4 linked regions of the Saccharomyces cerevisiae S288C genome follow. The gene in region 1 interacts genetically with each later gene. Each region holds a gene or a part of one and is shown in the gene's direction. Other genes may lie near its edges.

What was found.
Region 2: mutations in USV1 (region 1) and DCK1 together harm fitness less than expected from each alone (positive genetic interaction), as found in Saccharomyces cerevisiae (one large-scale study listed by BioGRID).
Region 3: mutations in USV1 (region 1) and STB4 together harm fitness more than expected from each alone (negative genetic interaction), as found in Saccharomyces cerevisiae (one large-scale study listed by BioGRID).
Region 4: mutations in USV1 (region 1) and UBP13 together harm fitness more than expected from each alone (negative genetic interaction), as found in Saccharomyces cerevisiae (one large-scale study listed by BioGRID).

The regions. Positions count from the first base shown.
Region 1 is NC_001148.4:113,746-117,008, forward strand, and holds USV1 (Usv1p), read left to right. Parts: upstream 1-1,566; coding exon 1,567-2,742; downstream 2,743-3,263. Other genes in the region: trifunctional fatty acid synthase subunit FAS2, read left to right, coding at 1-570. UniProt on the Saccharomyces cerevisiae protein: Transcription factor that participates in the transcriptional activation of glucose-repressed genes during exponential growth in non-fermentable carbon conditions. Also involved in salt-stress response.
Region 2 is NC_001144.5:963,877-971,898, forward strand, and holds DCK1 (guanine nucleotide exchange factor DCK1), read left to right. Parts: upstream 1-2,020; coding exon 2,021-7,819; downstream 7,820-8,022. Other genes in the region: URA4 (dihydroorotase), read left to right, coding at 1-1,003; proteasome regulatory particle lid subunit RPN13, read right to left, coding at 1,214-1,684. UniProt on the Saccharomyces cerevisiae protein: Forms a transiant heterodimeric complex with LMO1, that acts as a guanine nucleotide exchange factor exchange factor (GEF) for the small GTPase RHO5. DCK1, LMO1 and RHO5 relocate to mitochondria upon oxidative stress and trigger cell death.
Region 3 is NC_001145.3:310,296-315,520, forward strand, and holds STB4 (Stb4p), read left to right. Parts: upstream 1-1,860; coding exon 1,861-4,710; downstream 4,711-5,225. Other genes in the region: PEX9 (Pex9p), read left to right, coding at 1-1,457; FMS1 (polyamine oxidase), read left to right, coding at 5,082-5,225. UniProt on the Saccharomyces cerevisiae protein: Binds to SIN3.
Region 4 is NC_001134.8:93,136-97,881, reverse strand, and holds UBP13 (ubiquitin-specific protease UBP13), read left to right. Parts: upstream 1-1,999; coding exon 2,000-4,243; downstream 4,244-4,746. Other genes in the region: SEF1 (Sef1p), read left to right, coding at 1-1,213; ribose phosphate diphosphokinase subunit PRS4, read right to left, coding at 4,488-4,746.

The DNA.
Region 1 (3,263 bases):
GTAAGTAAAGAGCATGCTCCATACACTGATGAATTGGAAGAGGATGTTTACTTGGACCCATTAGCCCGTGTATCTAAGGATAAGAAATCAGGCTCCTTGACTTTCAACTCTAAAAACATCCAAAGCAAGGACAGTTACATCAATGCTAACACCATTGAAACTGCCAAGATGATTGAAAACATGACCAAGGAGAAAGTCTCTAACGGTGGCGTCGGTGTAGATGTTGAATTAATCACTAGCATCAACGTTGAAAATGATACTTTTATCGAGCGCAATTTCACCCCGCAAGAAATAGAGTACTGCAGCGCGCAGCCTAGTGTGCAAAGCTCTTTCGCTGGGACATGGTCCGCCAAAGAGGCTGTTTTCAAGTCCTTAGGCGTCAAGTCCTTAGGCGGTGGTGCTGCATTGAAAGACATCGAAATCGTACGCGTTAACAAAAACGCTCCAGCCGTTGAACTGCACGGTAACGCCAAAAAGGCTGCCGAAGAAGCTGGTGTTACCGATGTGAAGGTATCTATTTCTCACGATGACCTCCAAGCTGTCGCGGTCGCCGTTTCTACTAAGAAATAGAGAGAGCACTACGTAGTCCCTCTTTTAATATGTAACGTGTCGCTTCTATTTATCAGACATAATAGTAATTACTTTGTTATTTTTCTATCGTTTCCTTACTTTAGCCTCTGATTTCGATCTGGCCTAATCATTGTGTACGTCTATAATCATATGGCCCTGAGCGTACACACCGTTCAATTCTTCTATTTGGTCGGCCCACACAAATTCGCGCGGGGGCATATTGACGCGTGGAAGAATAGAAGTCCGCGTAGCAGCTCTGGGGTAATTAGGCTTTTACGATATCGGCTGGCCCAGCACCGGTTTTTATTCCTCCCGTGGTTGTTGTCTCTACCGTGAGGAGGGGAAAGGGTCAGGGACGGCCGGTAGTTATGTTGTCTCAACGATTACTGCCATCTATTGTTTACACCAATCGCGTGGGGCAAGGGGCTGGAAGGCTGTGGTGTACAGAATAGGGTCTAATACCCGATGCGCGACGCTCCTGCGACTGGTTGTGTGAGCCACCCCTTGATCGCCTCTGCCAAATACTCAGGGAAGAGAAAAATCGCGAAGGTGGACGAGTGCCCTTAAAGAACCAGCATCCTCGATCGCCGCTGCCGTTCGCCCTGGCTTAGCGGTGGGAAGCATCCTTTGGCTTTCGAATTCTCCGCCGTTGAGTCCCCCTAAGGGCCTTATTTATCCCCTCTATTTTTTTTTAGAAAATGTTTTCTTTTTCAAGATTTGTTTGCTCCTTCACGGCTTCCCCCTTAACCGTTCAACAGTCTTCCGTATATAACAATCTCAATCCACTCTTATTGCCTATAATTTTGATTAATTCTTATTCATCCCGGCAGATAAAGTTTCGTCTTGTTTTGAAAGAGACAGGAGTTCTTGGCTGCAGTATTTTGCAACAGCTTCATTAACCATGTATGTAAAGAAAAAATCTGGAGCGACTTACTGGCTTAGCTTTTTTTACTAACACATAAATAATACTGTGATAAGATAAGAAAAAAACACGAAATGGAAAATACCACGAATCGTAATACTGCAGGCGTTCTTACGAGCAGCAATGGTAACTTTGCCACCAATAGTGTAGCGGCATCAACTCCGAAGAGGTCCAAAAGTGCTCGAAGGAAAACGTTCAAATGCACCGGATATGACGGTTGTACGATGTCCTTCACTAGAGCGGAACATCTTGCACGTCATATAAGAAAGCACACTGGTGAAAAGCCGTTCCAGTGTCCTGCATGTTTGAAATTCTTCAGTAGAGTTGATAATTTGAAACAGCATCGGGAATCGGTCCATGCACATAAAAACCACCATTCTACCAGCTCGCACCAGCGTAAGCCTTCCTCTTCATCTTTATCCTCCTCTTCTTCTGCATCTTCTTCGTCTTCTGCTTCATCATCTACATCATATAGTGATCCTTACAGGAAAACTAATATTAATAGCGGGAACATGCCGATGATGGCAGAAAACGAAAAAGCGCCCCAAATAATACATTCTTCGCCGGAGTTCATTACTAGCACGAGAAGCATCCCACCCATCTCTCCAAGGTCCATTTATAATACCCAACGACAGCAACAACACCAACAACAACAGCATCAACAGGCTCCCTATTATTTTCCTTCCCATCCAATCACTGATAGTTACTACCAGTATCCTCTTCCCAGTAATAATAACACCATCAATTATTTACCATCAGTAGATGTGCAGTATCCTTTGAATGTGAGCCCCTCCTCAACGAGCCATCCGGCCTCTGAGGTAATCATATCGTCCTTTCCTCCGAGGTCCATGCCAAGTACTTCCTTCAAATATAAAGATTCTGCCGACTTTCAAGCACGGACAACTATGAACAAATACAATATTAGACCAAGCAATATCAATGTCAATACTAGTAATATCAATAACCATCTTGATTCATTCTCCCCGCCGTTTTCTCCGTCAACGACAGTTGCTGAAGCAAAACCAATTATTTTACCACAGTATCAGCAGGCATTTAGCCAACCACCAAATGGAAATAAAAACAATAATATGTCTTCCTCGAAGAATGGCGGCAAAGGGGGAGAAAATTTCAAGAATACTGATGATCGCAATGATAATAATAACAAAAAGAGGTCGGAAACTTTATCAGAGTCTGATATTTCGGTCAACACCAATAAGAAAAGGCTTAGTGTTGATTACATATTGACTTGATCGAGGCAATCTGATCTAAGTTTCAAATATTCCGTAGAGTATAAATATCTTACAACTAATATAATTCTTAATATGCGCAAACAAATTATGGTGCGCATCTTTTTTTATTTTTATGTTTTGTTCCATACTAAATGCAGTTTATAAAATTTTTCAAATGAGTCAAGCTATGTATAATCAGTGCTACAAAAATGATAAGATGCAATTGCAAGAAAAAATCCCTTGCATAAAGGGCTTTCTGACCTCTTGCGTTGATCAACGAGAAATAACCGCAAAACTTAATTTTAAACTCCCGCGTCTGCTTTACACAGCCCACAGTAGCATCAAAAACTACGATGTAACACTAACGGTGGATTGTGAATACGGAACGAACAATCCTGCATCTTGACTTCAAAACTTGATCATATACACCTATACCGCCATGGTTATCTCGCCCTTACGCTCACCCGGACCCCCGTTAATTGCAATAATAAGAAAAAGAAAAGAAAGAAGCTTTTTATCTCATTTCACTGACAAGATGACGC
Region 2 (8,022 bases), on another chromosome or scaffold:
AGATGGTGGGGTTTCAATTGCTTACATCATGCCAAATTTACAACCTCCAATTACCACACTAGATAGAGTGATTGAATACAAAAAGACACTGCAGAAACTAGCTCCTAAAACTACCTTCTTAATGAGTTTTTATCTTTCAAAAGACTTAACTCCAGATTTAATTCATGAAGCTGCCCAACAACATGCCATTCGTGGAGTAAAGTGTTATCCAGCGGGAGTAACAACAAATTCGGCTGCTGGGGTGGATCCAAATGACTTCAGCGCATTTTACCCAATTTTCAAGGCTATGCAAGAAGAGAACCTGGTATTAAATTTGCATGGGGAAAAACCTTCTGTCCATGATGGAGACAAAGAACCTATTCATGTATTGAATGCAGAGGAAGCCTTTTTGCCAGCCTTGAAAAAATTGCATAATGATTTCCCAAACCTGAAAATAATTCTGGAACACTGCACTAGCGAGTCGGCAATAAAGACAATCGAGGATATAAATAAGAACGTGAAGAAAGCCACTGACGTAAAGGTTGCTGCCACATTAACGGCTCATCACTTATTTTTAACAATTGATGATTGGGCCGGAAATCCGGTAAATTTTTGCAAACCTGTTGCGAAACTTCCAAATGACAAAAAGGCTCTAGTCAAAGCTGCTGTATCAGGGAAACCATATTTTTTCTTTGGATCTGATTCAGCACCTCATCCTGTACAAAATAAGGCCAATTACGAGGGTGTTTGCGCAGGAGTTTACTCACAATCTTTTGCGATCCCTTATATCGCCCAAGTTTTTGAAGAGCAAAATGCCTTGGAGAACTTAAAGGGCTTTGTTTCCGACTTCGGAATTTCCTTTTATGAGGTTAAAGATAGCGAAGTGGCTTCTTCAGATAAGGCAATATTATTCAAAAAAGAACAAGTTATCCCTCAGGTTATCAGCGATGGCAAAGACATAAGCATCATCCCATTTAAAGCAGGTGATAAACTAAGTTGGTCGGTGAGATGGGAACCTCGTTAATATGCAACAATATGTAGGCTCATTTGAGAGTATAGACCATATATACATATTTATGGGAAAAATAAACTTACCTTCCAATAGAAGTTATAGATGCCATCATCATGCCTATTGTTATGGTCCGTATCTCTTTACAGAAGTTCACAGCCAAATGCGTTGATATGGTATATTTTTTCTCTTCAGTTTTTTATCAAAAAATGCCACAACCTTGATTTAATCTTGCATACTAACATCCACATCTTGAGCTTTTTGCTTTTCGTCATTGCTTTCTTCCTCATCACTTTCACTACTATTATTCAGCACTCCAATCATCTTATTGTAAATTTCTTTATCTTTCGCACTCAATTCATTTAAGGGCAAATTACCTGAGTTCTTCTCTTGCAGCCAAAAGAAGTACCTTTCGTTGGATGAAAAAACTAAAGCAAATATTCTGCCACTTTTACTGGATTTTATTGGAACCCACATGGTCTCTCCAGGAATTAAAATCAAAGAAATAGGATCAAGTTCCCTCCCGACCGGCTTTTCCGTTGGACGCCACTCGAAATCCCAAAATCCCAATTCTTCCTCTTCATTTGGTTTGATCTCGATTTCACCCTGAACTGGAATTGGCGTACATAGACGTGAATCTTCGTTGTATTCACAAACACCAGCCCTGAATTTAATTACAGTTGAACTCATACTCATCAACACTCTTTTAAAATTTATAAGTCAACCAGCACTTAGGTAGTTTTCTGGCACCCTTATAGAACCTAATCTACTGGTCATAGTAGAGTATTTAGTAGCAAAGCTTTCGCCACCTCGCGAATAATATATCACGAAATACGGAGGAATTTTAACTGAAATATATCAATAACGCATATCAAGGAGGGGATGACTTGATGAGTTGAAAATAATATAAATGGTTCAAGCAACCGTTTGTACACCACTCAGTCAATTATTGCTTCAATTGAAATTATAGAGGACCGAAGATTAGTCATATAAAACAGGGGTCTTTTTTTCTTTAGGGAGATTACTATTACAATGTCGCAACAGGATTCACAGCGCTGGCTGCCCACGGATCGGCTAATATATGGTGTGCTAGTCAAATCTTTCCTTCCCTTACAAAGGTATCCTGAGCTGGTATATGAAAACAGCAATTATGCGAACGTTTATGTGGGTGCAGAAGTTTACGTCTTCGAAGAATCTGTGGATAAGAAATGGTGTAGAGCGTACCAATGTTTACGACCCTTTCCTGAAGAATTCATATCGAATATGAACTCGGCGAATGATGTACTGCCAGACGTGAAACCGAAAGTAGTGATATTTCCTAGAAAATATGTTCATTTTGAAGCAGAAAAAGCCGTCAGCACAATGCCATTTTTCAAAGCACCTAGTGCTGAGGATTTTAAACCATTGATAAGTAAAGAATGTGAGTCCCGCTCCTTTTGTGACAGCCTATATGTTAGCTCTACTGATGATATATCAACTGGTAAACCAAGAAAGACACCGAGACCTCCGTTCCCCTTTTTCAGATACCAAAAGAGGTCCTTTAAGGACGAAATGGGTCCTATATTATCTCTTATTTCCTCGCATGTTTACTCTATGTATTCAATTGGCGAGTTTTCTATATATAGGAAAATGATAAAACTTTATTATGATTTGGACACTATACGATTTAGATTGTCTATGAATTTAACCACAGAGGCTGAGAAAATAAATCTGATAAGAGCAGCAACATCCCTAAGAACTAAAATCGCAAAATTTTTGTCCTCCACATACAGGAAGAATAAACTAATTGCTAACTCTACTCCAAGAAACCCAGATCCTTATGGTTTCGAAGGAATTTTTGCCAGGGATATTGATACTGGCGAATTGCTCTCATACGAGATCGACAAATTAAGAACTTTAGTGTCATCGTCAATGCTTTGTGGTTTAACTAATAATTTTCCTACTGTACCTGTGGTAGAGTCCGATGATGAGTCCTCATCTAACGGACTATTCGGCACAGTTAGATCGAGCATTTTGGTTAACTTGAAAGATCTGGCATGGGATCCCTCTATATCAGATCCTAAATATCAAGATCTTTCTATTTGTGTATACTTGAGAACCAAAGACGAAGTTTTAACAGAGTCTTTTACCATGACGAAGTCGTCCAATATGGAATCAGCTCTAGATGAAATTCCTGCAATGTTATTCAAGAATATTTTGGAAACGATAGTCCATAAAAATAAAGTATACTTAGTAGTAGTGCTGAAGGAAACAATAGCAATTACAACAGAAACTGCTCCGGAAATTTCATCTTACAATATATCTACCGAAGAGTCAAGTTCACATTCCCCATTTTCTCCATTTAATTCATCGACTGAGAATAAGATTGACCACGTAAAAAAGGGCTTAGCTGCCGGAGTTATTAACATATCTCCGGTATTCAAGTTTTATAACGGCCTATCAGTTGCGAATAAAGCTCAGAGGTTTAACCTTTATCTTTATAGCTCCGATTCCTCGGATTCGCAAAACTTCAACTCTTCAAAGGATGCGGATTTAGGTTGGGGCGGGTTAATAAATAAGATAATAAAAGATTCTTCTGAAGGCGTTTCTGTGAACCCTAGGGCTGTTTCTTTATCGGTAACTGTAAAGGAAATTATAGGCAAACAAGAGGCGGAAAAAGTGCTCTCCACATCTTTAGTACCGATAAGATCTATTCCCACATACTTTTATGATACCATGTTTAGCCAAGCAGAAAGAATTTATCTGAACTTAGGTAGGGTGTCGCTTTATGGACTTCCTGCAGCTGATACAAATATAGAAAATGTTACCGTTCAAATATCCTGCAGGAATAAGGCCGTAAAATTTTGCAAAAATAAGCTCGAAGAGAGATCTGGGGACTGGAAGTTTGTTTCAGTTCGTCCAAATGAGAGCATAGGCGAATCGATTAGAATAGAAGGGGTAGAGAACATGAACGAAGACGAGACATTAAGAGTATTGGTATATTTGAATGGATTTTTGATGGCAAAATCAAATATACATATCAAGAAAAAGAACGAAATCATAGAATATAGAAAGGGTACCGTATTCCAAATAATGTCATCCAAATCAGTACCTCTAATTCATTTAGAGCTTGAAGCATCATATTTTGGTCGGAGATATAATATCAACCCTGCCATTACAAATTTCTTAGTTCTTCAAACCAAAAATGTTGAATTCGACCAGCAACTTAAAGAGCACTATTCAGTTACATTGAAGCAGCTGAATAACGTTTCTTTTAAAGATTTACTAAAGCATTTTGACACAATTTTAGCACACTATTTGTTACTTCTTGAATCGGTGAATGAAGCTACTGATAAAAAAGGCCCTTCTTCAAGTTTACCCAATATTGTATTCAGTGAATTCGTCAAGTTTTTAAATTTAATGTTAACACACCAAGAAAACTCTAGATATTGGTTTAATAGACTGTACAAAAAAGTCATGTCAAAGGAACTAGAATGTCCCAATGTTGCACCGATACTAATAAAACATATGACAACGATCTTTGATAGGAGTCATTCTTCTTGGACTAGAACAGGAACTGCAATCTGCCGAACCATCCTGTACATAATTGTGTTGGCAATCGGTTCGTCTCATTCTGATGAAATGCCTAATTTCAGTCATTTTTTCAGAAGCTTGCACAAATTTTTAATGCTTGCTGATGAGCCAATAATGGCGGATCAAATTTTGTTAATAGAAAGTATTCCCTCTATGCTGGAGACAATGACCAATCACTGTAAGGTGGAAGACTTAGTTCGTTTTGCGATCGGACTGTTTGAATGTTGCCAGGAAAAAGAAATGAATCAAAAAATGTACTCCAGGCCACTCTCAGTTCGAGAAGAAGAATATTTGAATACAAAGTTTAATTGCCTGTTGAAGTTAATTAACAAGAAGGTTTTGCAAAATTATTTAACCAATACGGAATCCGTAGATAAACTGAGGTTACAGTTTTTATCTAAAACCCTTGAGTGGTTACTTACGCCGTATACTCCAGGCGATGACAAATGTTTTCACGTAGAATCCTTACGCTTGGTTAATTCTGTTTTCATTACAATAATCGAAGATTACAAATTTGACATGCTACAAAGGAACTTGATAAGGTTACTACCATATTTGTGTAAGTCCTTCGTCCATTTAAGAAGGTACTGTAAGAAAGCACGTTTAATGAGGCCTCGAAGAGTTTTTACCATGCTTTTTCCCAGAGAAATTCCATGCAACTACATACCGGTTGATTCAATAGTGAATGATGAAGTAGTCGTAGAAGTTCTTCTAGAGCTTGCCATCATAATTTGTGAAATAACGAAAATTGCATCAAGCAGATTTCCATCATATCAATCTTTCAGCGAAATCATAAACTTGTGCGATAAAGACACTCTTTTTCAATCAAATTTTTATTCACGACAAATCACGAATGAAAATGTCTATACAATAACCAAAACAGTTTTTTTGTTTTTTAAACAAGATTGGTTCCCAGGAATGAAGTGGCTTGGCGTATCAGCGTTATTAGGAAGATCGTCTCTAATATTGCTTAGTTTATGCAAGGATTATATCATAGAAAATAATTCACCTTCTCCATCAAAGGAGTCTGAAAAGAGGGTTGACATGCGACTTTGGGCAGAATATGTAAAAGTCATACTACTAGTTTCAAACCATAAAAGTGCATCCTTGACTAAGTTAGCTATTACTCCACGTAAGGCCGTTTATTTGATATCGGGTGACCTGAAAAAAATTTCAGCATATATCCTAAATGAATGTTGGGATGCCCTAGCCACTGGGCACTATAATATCACTTATGCTAAAAAGTATGGATTAGGAGCCTTGAGTGATTGCCAATTTGAATTGTTTGTTCATAATCAATTTTTGATACGTGAGATCTTTATTTTTGCTTTCCATAGACATATCGATGCAACAAGAATTTGTTGCAAAATACTATGGGGATTAGGGCTAAATTTTTGGAGGATATTTGGGTCCCTACAACCAGCAGTGAACGCATGTATCCCAGAATTATTCAGCGCATACCAAATCGGGAAGCTTCGTTTGAATGATTACGAATTGGAAAGGTTTGTTTCTTGTTTGTTTTTTATGATGCACGTTCCCGATTCTGACACCTTTTTTCCTGCTTGTATGGATTTCTTAAGAGATTTACTTGGTTTTTTGCATATTGTAAATGAAATCTACAAAATACCTAATCAAGAAGAATTTGATGATGATCGGACTGCTCGGCACATAGAGATGTTCGAGTACTTGCTAGAAGCAAACAGGCCAGAGTTGTTTCATAAAATGATATATGATTTGTTTATCCACTTTATTCAGAAAAAAGACTTTGTTCAAGCAGCTTTGAGTCTAGAACTCTTGGCAGGTACGTACGCTTGGGATTCTAATGATACTCTTGAAGCAATATCTTTCCCGCCATTGCCAGAGCAATCTTCATTTGAGAGGAAGGAATATCTTCTTAAGGAATCCGCAAGAAACTTTTCGAGAGGCCAAAAACCAGAAAAAGCTTTAGCGGTATACAAGGACTTGATAAAAGCCTACGATGAGATCAATTATGATTTAAACGGGCTGGCCTTTGTACATGACCAAATAGCAGGCATTTATACCAGATTACAGTCCATTGATAGACTGGTTCCAACGTATTTTAAAGTTTCTTTCATGGGATTTGGTTTTCCAAAATCATTAAGAAATAAATCGTTCGTCTTTGAGGGTCTCCCATTTGAACACATTACGTCTATGCATGACAGGCTTCTACGAAGCTATCATGGGTCAAATATTGTACACTCACAAGAAGAAGTGGATATGTTATTGATGAATCCTCCAATGGGAAAATACATTCATGTAGCTTCCGTCGAACCGTGCTTAAGTATATCCGATAATTACAACAGTAGTGACAAGAAAAGCTCAATTAACAACAAAGTGCGGATGTACATTGAGAATAGAGATTTGAGGACTTTCAGTAATTCTCGACGTTTGCCAGGCGCAAAAGGAGTCACTGACCTGTGGGTGGAGGAATATACGTATCATACTATGAATACTTTTCCAACACTAATGAATAGATCAGAAATTGTAAAGGTTACGAAGAGCAAACTTTCTCCACTTGAAAATGCAATTCGTTCCTTACAAGTTAAAATACAGGAGTTATATGGGCTTGAAAACATGTGCAATAAAACTCTGAAGGACCACGGTGATGTGAACGATTTATTTACCGAGCTTTCTACAAATATTACGGGAACAATATCAGCTCCAGTTAATGGAGGCATATCACAGTACAAGGCCTTTTTAGAACCCTCCACATCCAAGCAGTTCAGTACTGATGATTTAGGAAGATTGACGCTAGCTTTTGATGAGCTTGTTGCAGTATTAGGTCGCTGTCTAACGTTGCATGCAGAACTACTACCATCAAAGGATCTAAAACCATCACATGATCTTCTAGTGCGTCTTTTTGAGGAAAATTTCGCTGAGGAGATAGAAAGATATAGTCGTACTCTCAGTGAGGCCAATCGTAGCAGGAATAACATGATTACTGCTCGAATAATTTCGCACAAGAACCCCAATAAAAAGGCAAGCTTTTCTGGAAGGGATCATCACACCTCAGGGTCCAATCATAGCCAATTTGTATTAGAACATAGCGACTCATTTGGCCCAAACAGTTTACTTTTTGGAAAATATTTAACAAGAACGTTATCCCACTCGTCCACTACGAGCAGTTTGGATAAAAGTGGAATTGTTTCCGGCACTTCGAGCACCTTTTTGGCAGGGTCACAGCCAAACACCAACACAGATTCACAGCACAAGCATGATTACTCACATTCGGGATAATATGTCAGAAGTTGTTCACTATAAAATATACGCATATGTAATCATTTATTTATTCATTCATGACTTTTAGTTGAAAAGGGCACATTTTTCTTTGTCGTAAAAGTGAAGAAGACAGCGAATTTTTTCCTTTCTCCTTCAAGTATTGCTTTTTTGATAAAGTATTTTTCGAAATATTGATACAATTATTGAATCTTTGTACCGTA
Region 3 (5,225 bases), on another chromosome or scaffold:
AATTCTCTGATTTTCAGACTAACGATAGCGCCGCGCGAGATGCTAGAACAATAGATTACATCTTTACCAATTGTCAAACCGGCAGCAGTATTGGTAAGATAGATTTTCGGGCCGCACTACCGGCAGATAAATCTCAACATAGTGGTGTCAGCGAAAAAGAATTTTCAAGACTTGAGAACCAGTGGTCAAAGGAATTCTCTTGTTTCCCCAAGAATAAAAATGCTGATGTGACCAAGCCCAGTAGAAACAAACATGAGAAACGCTCCGCTAATTTGCACAATAGGTACTTTGCACAATATTATAGTACGGCATATCAGCAAAATCGTATATATCCTTGTCGAATATCTTACAATGAACACTCATCTGTTTCTAATGGCTGGGAATTTCAGTTCAAATCAATCGAAAATCAGTTACTAAATGAGCTAAAGATAGAAAACAATGTAGAAGAAAAAACTGTTGGTTATGAATATGTGGCAGAATACGAAGAAACAATTGATTTCATGCATATGCTGTCATCCGTACCACAAACATATCAATTCCTAAAATCAAACATCTACATAACGGAACGGGACCCATATAAAATAGGATGTGTACTAATGGACAACGGTTCCAATTTGAACGAAGTAGTAATGGCCTTTGAAGCAGCCATTTCACAAGATCCAAGCCATATAAATGCATGGTTGAAGTTAGGTATAGTTAATTTTGAAAATGAAAGCGAAAGCAATGGAGAGCTTGCTTTGCGAAATTGCTTAAATTTGGATCCAAATAATACAATTGCATTGGAAAACTTAGCAATTCACCATATAAATCAACAAAATGAATCAGAGTCATTGAAACTTTTTCACAAATGGATTCTTTCAAAATTTTCGAAGGTTTTCCAACCTTCTGCGGGGGAAAACAAAGATAGCATTAATAAAATTCCGAAAAAGGCCCATTTGGCGCATATTCTAGAATCCCTGTTGAATATGGGTATAGAAAAAAAAGATCAGTATGATATATATTCAGTATTATCAATCTTATATTATTCGGATCAGAAAATAAAGCAATCTCAGAAATGCTTAGAGTTTTTACTACTGGAAAAGCCCAATAATGGAACAATATGGAATAGATATGGTGCTATTTTGGCCAATACTAAGTCGTATCACTCTGCGATAAATGCGTACAATAAATGCAAACAACTAAGACCGAATTTTACAAGGGTTCGTTATAATTTAGCGATCGCCTACATGAATAAGGGTGACTATGTAAAAGCAAGCAAAATGCTAATCGAAGTTATACTGTTACGAAGTAAAGGATATGAACACAACAAAGCAAAAATGCAAAACAAATTTATGCAAAATTTAAAAAATGCTCTCATCGCTTCAAAAAATTTTGATTCACTTGATCTAATAAATGGTTCTCATAATACAGAATCGTTAATATCAACCTTAAAAGCTATTTATAACAAAATGGATTAGGTTTTAGTTAATTTTTTTGCTATATAGTGCATTCAAAATAAAAAAAATTAAAGCTGAAACAAACCAAATATGCTATTGGACGTTCGAAAAGCTAATTGCGTAAAGGAACACTAAACACAGCAAGCTTATGCTAGTTCTTCTCAAAAATATAAGTTCCTCTTGCAAGAATATGAAGGTAATTTCACTTTATCGCGCAAGTGCATATTTCTGAGTTTACTATGTGCTTCGTCTGAAACCTCTCATTATCTACTTAATATCGGCTATTCATCTCACGTATTCACGTAATATTTGATTTTTGTACTACTATTTCTCTCTGTCATACGTGCATGATACATTTCCTTGTTCAAATTAAAAGAGTCACCGTCAGCCTCTCAAAACAAAGAAAAAAGATACCCGGCTGAACATGAGTATCAATCATGAAATATATTATATACTTGTATTTGAGCATCGTTCAGTAGCAATCAAGCTCATCATCGTAGTGATTGTTCTCCTTCAGTTTTTTTTAGCACGAAGTCGGCAAATTGATAGGACATGGGCCCATACTAATAGAAAGGAACGGTTCAGAGAAATGACAGCTATCGGGAATACTGATGATGCACTTGATACTAGTACAGCCGCAAGTAAAGAAAATGGAAAAGGTAGACTCAGGGTTCAAAAAGCTTGTGAACTTTGCAAGAAGAGAAAGGTTAAATGCGACGGTAACAATCCTTGTCTGAACTGCTCTAAACATCAAAAAGAATGCCGTTATGATTTCAAAGCTACAAACCGTAAAAGAAGAAGACGACAGGTCGCATCAGCTGTTCGGGACGTTAGTAAGACATATGCAGAAACCAGTGAGTCTTTTCCTAGGGACTTGTTAAGTAAATCAAATATTATCATAAATGCCCCCTCAGATGGTGTATCTTCGTCTGCTAGCAACTCTCCCAATCCAAATTCACATTATCATCATATATCATCCACTTTACCCTTCATGAGCGGTAGGCCAAACCATACATTCCATTCCGGAAGCAACTTAAATGGAGAAAATAACAATAACAGTTTTCCGGAGGATCACATGGCTAAATTACTTCTGCAATTGAGTTCAAAATTGGGGAATACGACCAAGGAATCGTCAATTAGAACAACTAGAACCAATGCTAGTGATGTGAATGCAAACCCGACAGTGGTCAACATGAAAAATAGTCAGGAAGACTGTGACACGAATCACAGGTCTGCAATATGTGACTCTGCAGAGGCTCTTCATAATAACAACATCAATTCTAAAGAGAATAAGATAATCAACTCTCAAATAACTAACACTGTTAATGATCACTTTGAATCACCCTGGCAGACATTTTCTTTAGATAAGTATAGGTTTCACCGACGCTACCAAAATATTCTGCCCTATTACCTTGGTGTATCTATTTTAAAGGATCTATCTCCGCAGACAATAGAGTACGCGAAGTTGAAAAGGCCAAGAGTTCAAAACTATGGTTGGAACTTGTCAGGAGGCCATTACTTAAAGTATAAGGGTGACTTTAGAAGCCAAGAAAAAAATATAAGGCATGAGTCTAAATTTTTCGACTTTGATGACCCTGTTCACTTATCCTTAATCAATAAGTTACTAAGGTATTATTTTGATGAGATCAATCCTGTTTTCAGTATCATTCACGAAGCGACATTTTGGCAGCAATATAACAATAAATTTCTACGGCAAGGTAAACAAAATAATTCATCTGCGAATCTATTCACTTCCATGCTTTATCTAATTTTGTCTACTACACTAAGATTCAGAGAAGGGCATCTAGATGGTCAGAAAGGGCAAGGAACCTACAGTAACACATCCTTAAATATCACATTCGAGGAAAAATCTATTTTGATCAAAAAACCCTCCATAGAGGAAAATTTATTCAAATACGCTTATTTAATAATCAACACGCTGACCTTTGAGTGGGAATCATTCGAACTAATACAATCGTGGCTTTTGATAACCTTCTATTTCAGAACCTGTTACAGACAGACGGCGTGCTGGAACGCGTTAAGTCAAGCGGTGAACATGTGTAATGGGATGAGTCTATATTTAAACAAATTTCCTGAGATCCATTCCACTTATGATGAATCAAAAGCATGGCATTGTTTCTGGTGTTGTTTTATAATGGATAAGTTGATAAGTTTTCAAATGGGTCGATTCTACCAACTATCATTACCCGCGAGCGAGATGTGCGAACAGATGAATCTAGTGAAGTCAAAGAAATTTTTACAAGAAGAAGATGATTGGTTTCACGAAGAGACTTTTCAAATGCTTGATTTGTCCATAATAGTGACACAGTTTTTAAAAAGAGACGCACAGGATTTAAATTTGAACGAGACCGTGCAATTGCGCAGCCAACTTGGTCAATGGTATGACACCTTTATAGTTGGAAGTCAAACCAATGCGTACGACGACAATTATCGTTACTTCTATCAAGTTCAACCATTCATGACATACCTGGATATAAGGCTGACTTTCGAAGTAAGACAATTATTTTGTCTAATCGCCCCCTCATCTACCGCAAATAATAAATCCCTAGAATATGTCGTCGATACTGAATTGTTAATTTCTCATTGTCAAATGGCTATTGAAAATTTGGCTGAAATTACGAGAAGTAATCTTTTCTTTGTTCCGTGGTGGTTAAACCTTTCTCAACTATTCACGGTAAATTTAATATGTATTATCTACCTGCACGCAGGGATTGCCGTAACTCAAAATAAAGCTATCATGCAAAGCTGCCAAGAAATATGGCGAACCTTAGAGTGCTCTAAGCCAAAAAATCGGCCTTCAATGCTTCCTGAGTGCTTGTGGTGTTTGAAAATGCTGAATCATATGTTCTGCATACGACTGAGAGATTCTGCTTTGCAATTGGAAGCTACTCTCGGAACTGATCATGGTGATGACACCCCTAATAGAAATAAGTTTGAGCAGTTCAAGAAAGTTGGCGATAATGATGCGGATGTTGAAGTTGATGCTGGTGAAAGAGAAGAAAATGCTGATGAAAGACAAGAAAATCCACATAACAATAGCAAAAGAGTACCATTAGCTACTAGGTCTCATAATACCACTAACTTCGACGGTTCAATCGCAATTTCTCCGGAAAGTGCAGTAGCAAATCTAGGTACTGATACTGGATTGCCCTCAGATGTTCTTGATACTGTCAGTAAAATAGGGAACTCTCCTAATGTGTTTGATGATGATTTATTTTCCAATTTATTATGGTTTGACCAAAATTTTGCATAAGGATTCTTTTTCTATTCCATAAAACCATTTTATGGACACGTTTACCTACATATTATTATATTGTATATAAGATGTTGAAAAAATTGAGTCAACCTCACCTTACCACATGTTGGTCCGTTGCTATGACAAACTCTCGTTTTACAAGAAGGAGGCTCAAATTTCGGGTCACCCACCCATATACGGATGTCACGCTATGAGATCTTTTAAACAATAGACAATTTTTGGTATCCTAAAGATATAAAAGAGGAGTTTTTTTAAACCATGGTAACTATTTTCAAATTTGCTCTGCTGCAGTTTTTTATTTCTGTTTTTCTTTTTTTGTTCCCAACAAGAAGTGAGTTAATAAAGGCAAAAACAGTGGTCGTGTGAGAATGAATACAGTTTCACCAGCCAAAAAAAAGGTTATTATAATTGGTGCCGGTATTGCTGGGCTTAAAGCTGCATCTACGCTACACCAAAACGGTATTCAAGATTGTCTTGTTCTTGAGGCCAGAGATCGGGTCGGTGGTAGGTTG
Region 4 (4,746 bases), on another chromosome or scaffold:
ACTGATCATGCATCCAGAAGTTTTTGTGGAAGAAGACGGTATTATTTCTAGGATGAGATCACATTTAACAGGGTCTCTATTCTATGATTTGGTTTGGTGTGTTCACGAGGCGAGAAGAAGGGAAATGGATCCCGAATATAACAAGCAAGCCTTAGAGAAAGCCGCTAAGAAAAGAAAATTTTCCTCAAATGGTATCTACAATGGCACTTCGTCTACGGGTGGCATAACGGACAGAAAACTATATCCATTGCCACTATATAACCATATCTCCAGAGATGACTTTGAAACTGTAACAAAAACAACACCAAGTGGAACCACTGTTACCACTTTAGTTCCTACTAAGAATGCCTTAAAGCAGGCAGAAAAGCTAGCCAAGACAAATAACGGAGATTCTGACGGTTCTATAATGGAGATTAACGGGATACCTCTTTCCATGCTCGGGGAAACAGGCAGCGTAAAATTTCAAAGTTTATTCGCTAATACCTCGAATAGTAACGATTATAATAATAATAGGACGTTATTGGATGCGTCTAATGACATATCAATTCCCTCTAATTCAATTTATCCAGTGGCTTCTGTCCCCGCTTCGAATAACAATCCACAAAGTACTAAGGTAGACTATTATAGTAACGGACCTAGTGTAATTCCTGATCTCTCCATGAAAAGATCAGTAAGCACTCCCGTTAATCATTTTCCTGCGTCCGTTCCAGGGTTAAGGAACCACCCCGTTGGCAACTTATCTAATAATGTTACATTGGGAATAGACCACCCTATTCCAAGGGAGCACAGTAATTTACAAAATGTCACCATGAATTATAATAATCAATTCAGCAACGCCAACGCGATTGGAAGATCACAAAGTAGTATGTCCCATTCACGTACACCGATTGCTTCGAAGTCAAATAATATGACAGATTTGCATTCCGTCGTTTCCGACCCCGGCTCCTCTAAAAGCACGGCATATCCACCTCTGAGCTTGTTTTCCAAAAGTAATGATATCAATAGCAACAAAACGAACCAACGATTTTCTACGGGCACTAACACTGTAACTTCTTCTAACTTCCAAACCATCGATAATGAAAACAACGTGAAGACTCCTGGAAACAAACTAACGGATTTTTTTCAGCAACAAAGTGCAGGCTGGATTGAAGGCAACTCCAGTAATGATGACTTTTTTGGTTGGTTCGATATGAACATGGAACAAGGTTTTTAACGCCTATATTCTTCTAATATTCTAAGAAATATTATTACCCTTGTTTTCTGCTAATTTATTAAAGAAAATTTGCAAAGACGGCTACATAGGACTTCGAGTCCTTTTATTTATACATATTCTTTTTCGGATTATTTCCAATGTAACAATATTCAAGAATGGATCAACTTAAGGATTATTTATCAGTTTGTTATCACGACCTCCCTCCTTTGTAAAATGATGACCACACCAAAGTAGAATATTTATTCACTACCTATTTATTTTATTCTTATTAATATTTTATATATCATGCATTTATCCGTGTGCATTTACCAAAATTCATGAGTAACGATAACGCTTCTTATAGGTATCTATCTATTCCCATTCCGGTAACTTTTTTTTTTTCTCCAACGCTCAGTCCTTGCTTCTTTATCCCTATTCGTTTGGAGACGGTCGTCAATTTTAGCGGAAGGCTGAAAAATACATCGATCCGAAAGTGTTGAACATAGAGATGAGGCAAGATAACTATAAAGATAAAGAACCCAAAGAACGTAATTGAACTATTGTGTGAAAGAAGGTCGACAACAGCAAAGGAATCAATAGAGTTTTTCTTTGGTTTTCAAATTGATTTTTTTTCACCTGTTCATTTTTTTTTTTTCCATTTGGATAATATTATTATTGCCTATACCAGATCTTACCCTTTGACTGTTCAACTCATCAAGCTTTATTTGTTGAAGGGGCCAAATTCGGCTTTAGTAAGGATCCAGTACTTTCATTAACATACTAAACCCACGCAAGAAGGGCGCAATCATGATCAGAAGATGGCTAACTATAAGTAAGTCTGGGAAGAAGAAAAAGGCTGTTAATGATACCATTACAGAAGAAGTAGAAAAGGTTGACTTTAAGCCTGTAAACCACGATATAAATGATGAACTCTGTTATAGCGAATCATCCGATAATCCCTCTAGCTCATTGTTTGTCTCTAATTTGGATACCAAGGAAACTTTTTTGAATGAAGACAATAATTTGCAGATTTCTTCCGGACTAGACTATTCTTCTGAAACGTGCAATCAAGGCAGTAATTACAGCCAGGATGGGATATTTTATATTTCAAACGCAAAGGCTATAAACGCATACGGAGGCATTATCACGCAAGGGCCCGAGGCACCCATATTAGCTATGAAGGTGTCCGACTCAATGCCCTATGGAGACGGCTCCAACAAAGTTTTTGGATACGAAAATTTTGGCAATACATGTTACTGTAACTCAGTTCTTCAATGTCTCTATAATCTGTCCTCATTACGTGAAAATATATTGCAATTTCCAAAAAAATCAAGAGAATCTGATCAACCAAGAAAGAAAGAAATGAGAGGTAAGAAACCAAGAATATTTACCGAAGCAAGTTTTGAGAAAAGCATTGCTGGTACCAATGGACATTTGCCTAACCCTAAACCTCAATCTGTTGATGATGGAAAGCCTACCCCTGTAAATTCTGTAAATTCAAATACAGCTGGGCCTTCAGAGAAGAAGAGTAAATTTTTTAAAAGTTTTAGCGCGAAACATGTACAAGACAATAATAAAAAGGAAGGAAGTCCTGCTATATTAACCACTGGAAAACCCTCTTCTCGTCCTCAAGACGCACCTCCATTGATAGTCGAAACACCTAATGAGCCTGGTGCTCCGAGCAGATTGAGTTTCGAGAACGTCACAGATAGACCTCCGGATGTTCCGCGTAAAATAATTGTTGGCAGAGTTCTCAATTATGAAAATCCTTCAAGAGGTAGCAGTAATAGTAATAACCTGGACTTGAAAGGAGAAAGTAATAGCAGCTTATCCACTCCACTTGATAAAAAAGATACTAGAAGATCTAGTTCCTCTTCTCAAATATCCCCAGAACATAGAAAGAAATCCGCACTTATTCGTGGGCCAGTGCTCAATATTGACCATAGCTTAAACGGCTCAGATAAGGCTACTTTGTATTCCAGTTTGAGAGATATCTTTGAATGCATAACTGAGAATACGTATTTAACTGGTGTTGTATCGCCTAGCTCTTTTGTTGATGTTCTCAAAAGAGAAAATGTATTATTTAATACTACTATGCATCAGGATGCTCACGAATTTTTCAATTTCTTATTAAACGAGTTGAGTGAATATATAGAACGTGAGAATAAAAAAATAGCAGCCAGTGATATCAACAGCGATAGCGAACCGAGTAAGAGTAAAAATTTCATCAGTGACTTGTTTCAAGGCACTTTAACGAATCAAATAAAATGTCTGACGTGCGATAACATTACATCTAGGGATGAGCCATTTTTGGATTTCCCCATAGAAGTTCAGGGAGATGAGGAAACAGATATACAGGAAATTTTGAAAAGTTATCACCAGCGAGAAATGCTAAATGGCTCAAACAAGTTTTATTGTGACGAATGTTGCGGTTTACAGGAGGCAGAGAGATTAGTTGGTTTGAAGCAATTGCCTGATACTTTAACATTACACTTGAAAAGATTCAAGTATTCTGAGAAACAAAACTGTAATATTAAGCTTTTTAATAACATTCACTATCCTCTGACGCTAAATGTTTGCTCTTCAATAAATTCTAAGGTTTGTCAAAAGTATGAATTGGCTGGGATTGTCGTTCATATGGGCGGTGGGCCACAACACGGCCATTATGTTTCCCTATGTAAACATGAAAAGTTTGGCTGGTTGTTATTTGATGACGAAACGGTAGAGGCAGTTAAAGAGGAAACAGTGTTAGAATTCACAGGTGAATCTCCAAATATGGCAACAGCATATGTTTTGTTTTATAAAGCGATGTATTCAAACGCTGTTGAAAAGAATGATCGTGAAAATATGGCAAAAGAACAAGATGATAATATAGACAATCTAATCAAGTACGATGATTGGCTAAGAACTTGCAATAGTGGTCAAAAGAAAAAGGAAGAGCTGCCTATAGCAGACGATTTGGATACTGCTATAGACGACAGCTTTGTTTCTAACACACCCATAAAGTCTTCTAAAAAAAAGTCGAGAATGTTTAGTTTTAGGAAAAGCTGAAAAATATTTGCATATCAAGGAAGGTAAAGGTTCACCGTCTCCTTTAAAACTATTTTTTCTCTGACAGTATTAATTTAATTCTTACATAAATATAATATCTTTAATCTTCTTTTTTTAAACCGGCTCCGGAACCTTTTTCTTAAATTTATAGTTTTGTCTCAGTAAAAGGTTTTCTTTTAAACTAATACAATTATGAAGTATTTAGGCATGCAAGCAATCAGGAATCTAAGAATAAAAAATTGTCCTATACTGGAGCATGGGTGAACAAATATGACACGGATTCACCATTGTGTAGTCTTCTTATAGCTTCAGCGAACGTGGGACTAATATCGATCTGGTCAGCAATAGGTAAATCCAAATCTACCGGAACGGTATTTGTGCAAACAATTCTAGACAATCTACTATTTCTTAGCTTTTCTCTTGCTGAACCGGAGAAAATACCGTGTGTAACAATAGCTATAACTTCTTTGGCACCATGCTCCATCAACGTATCACAAGCTTTT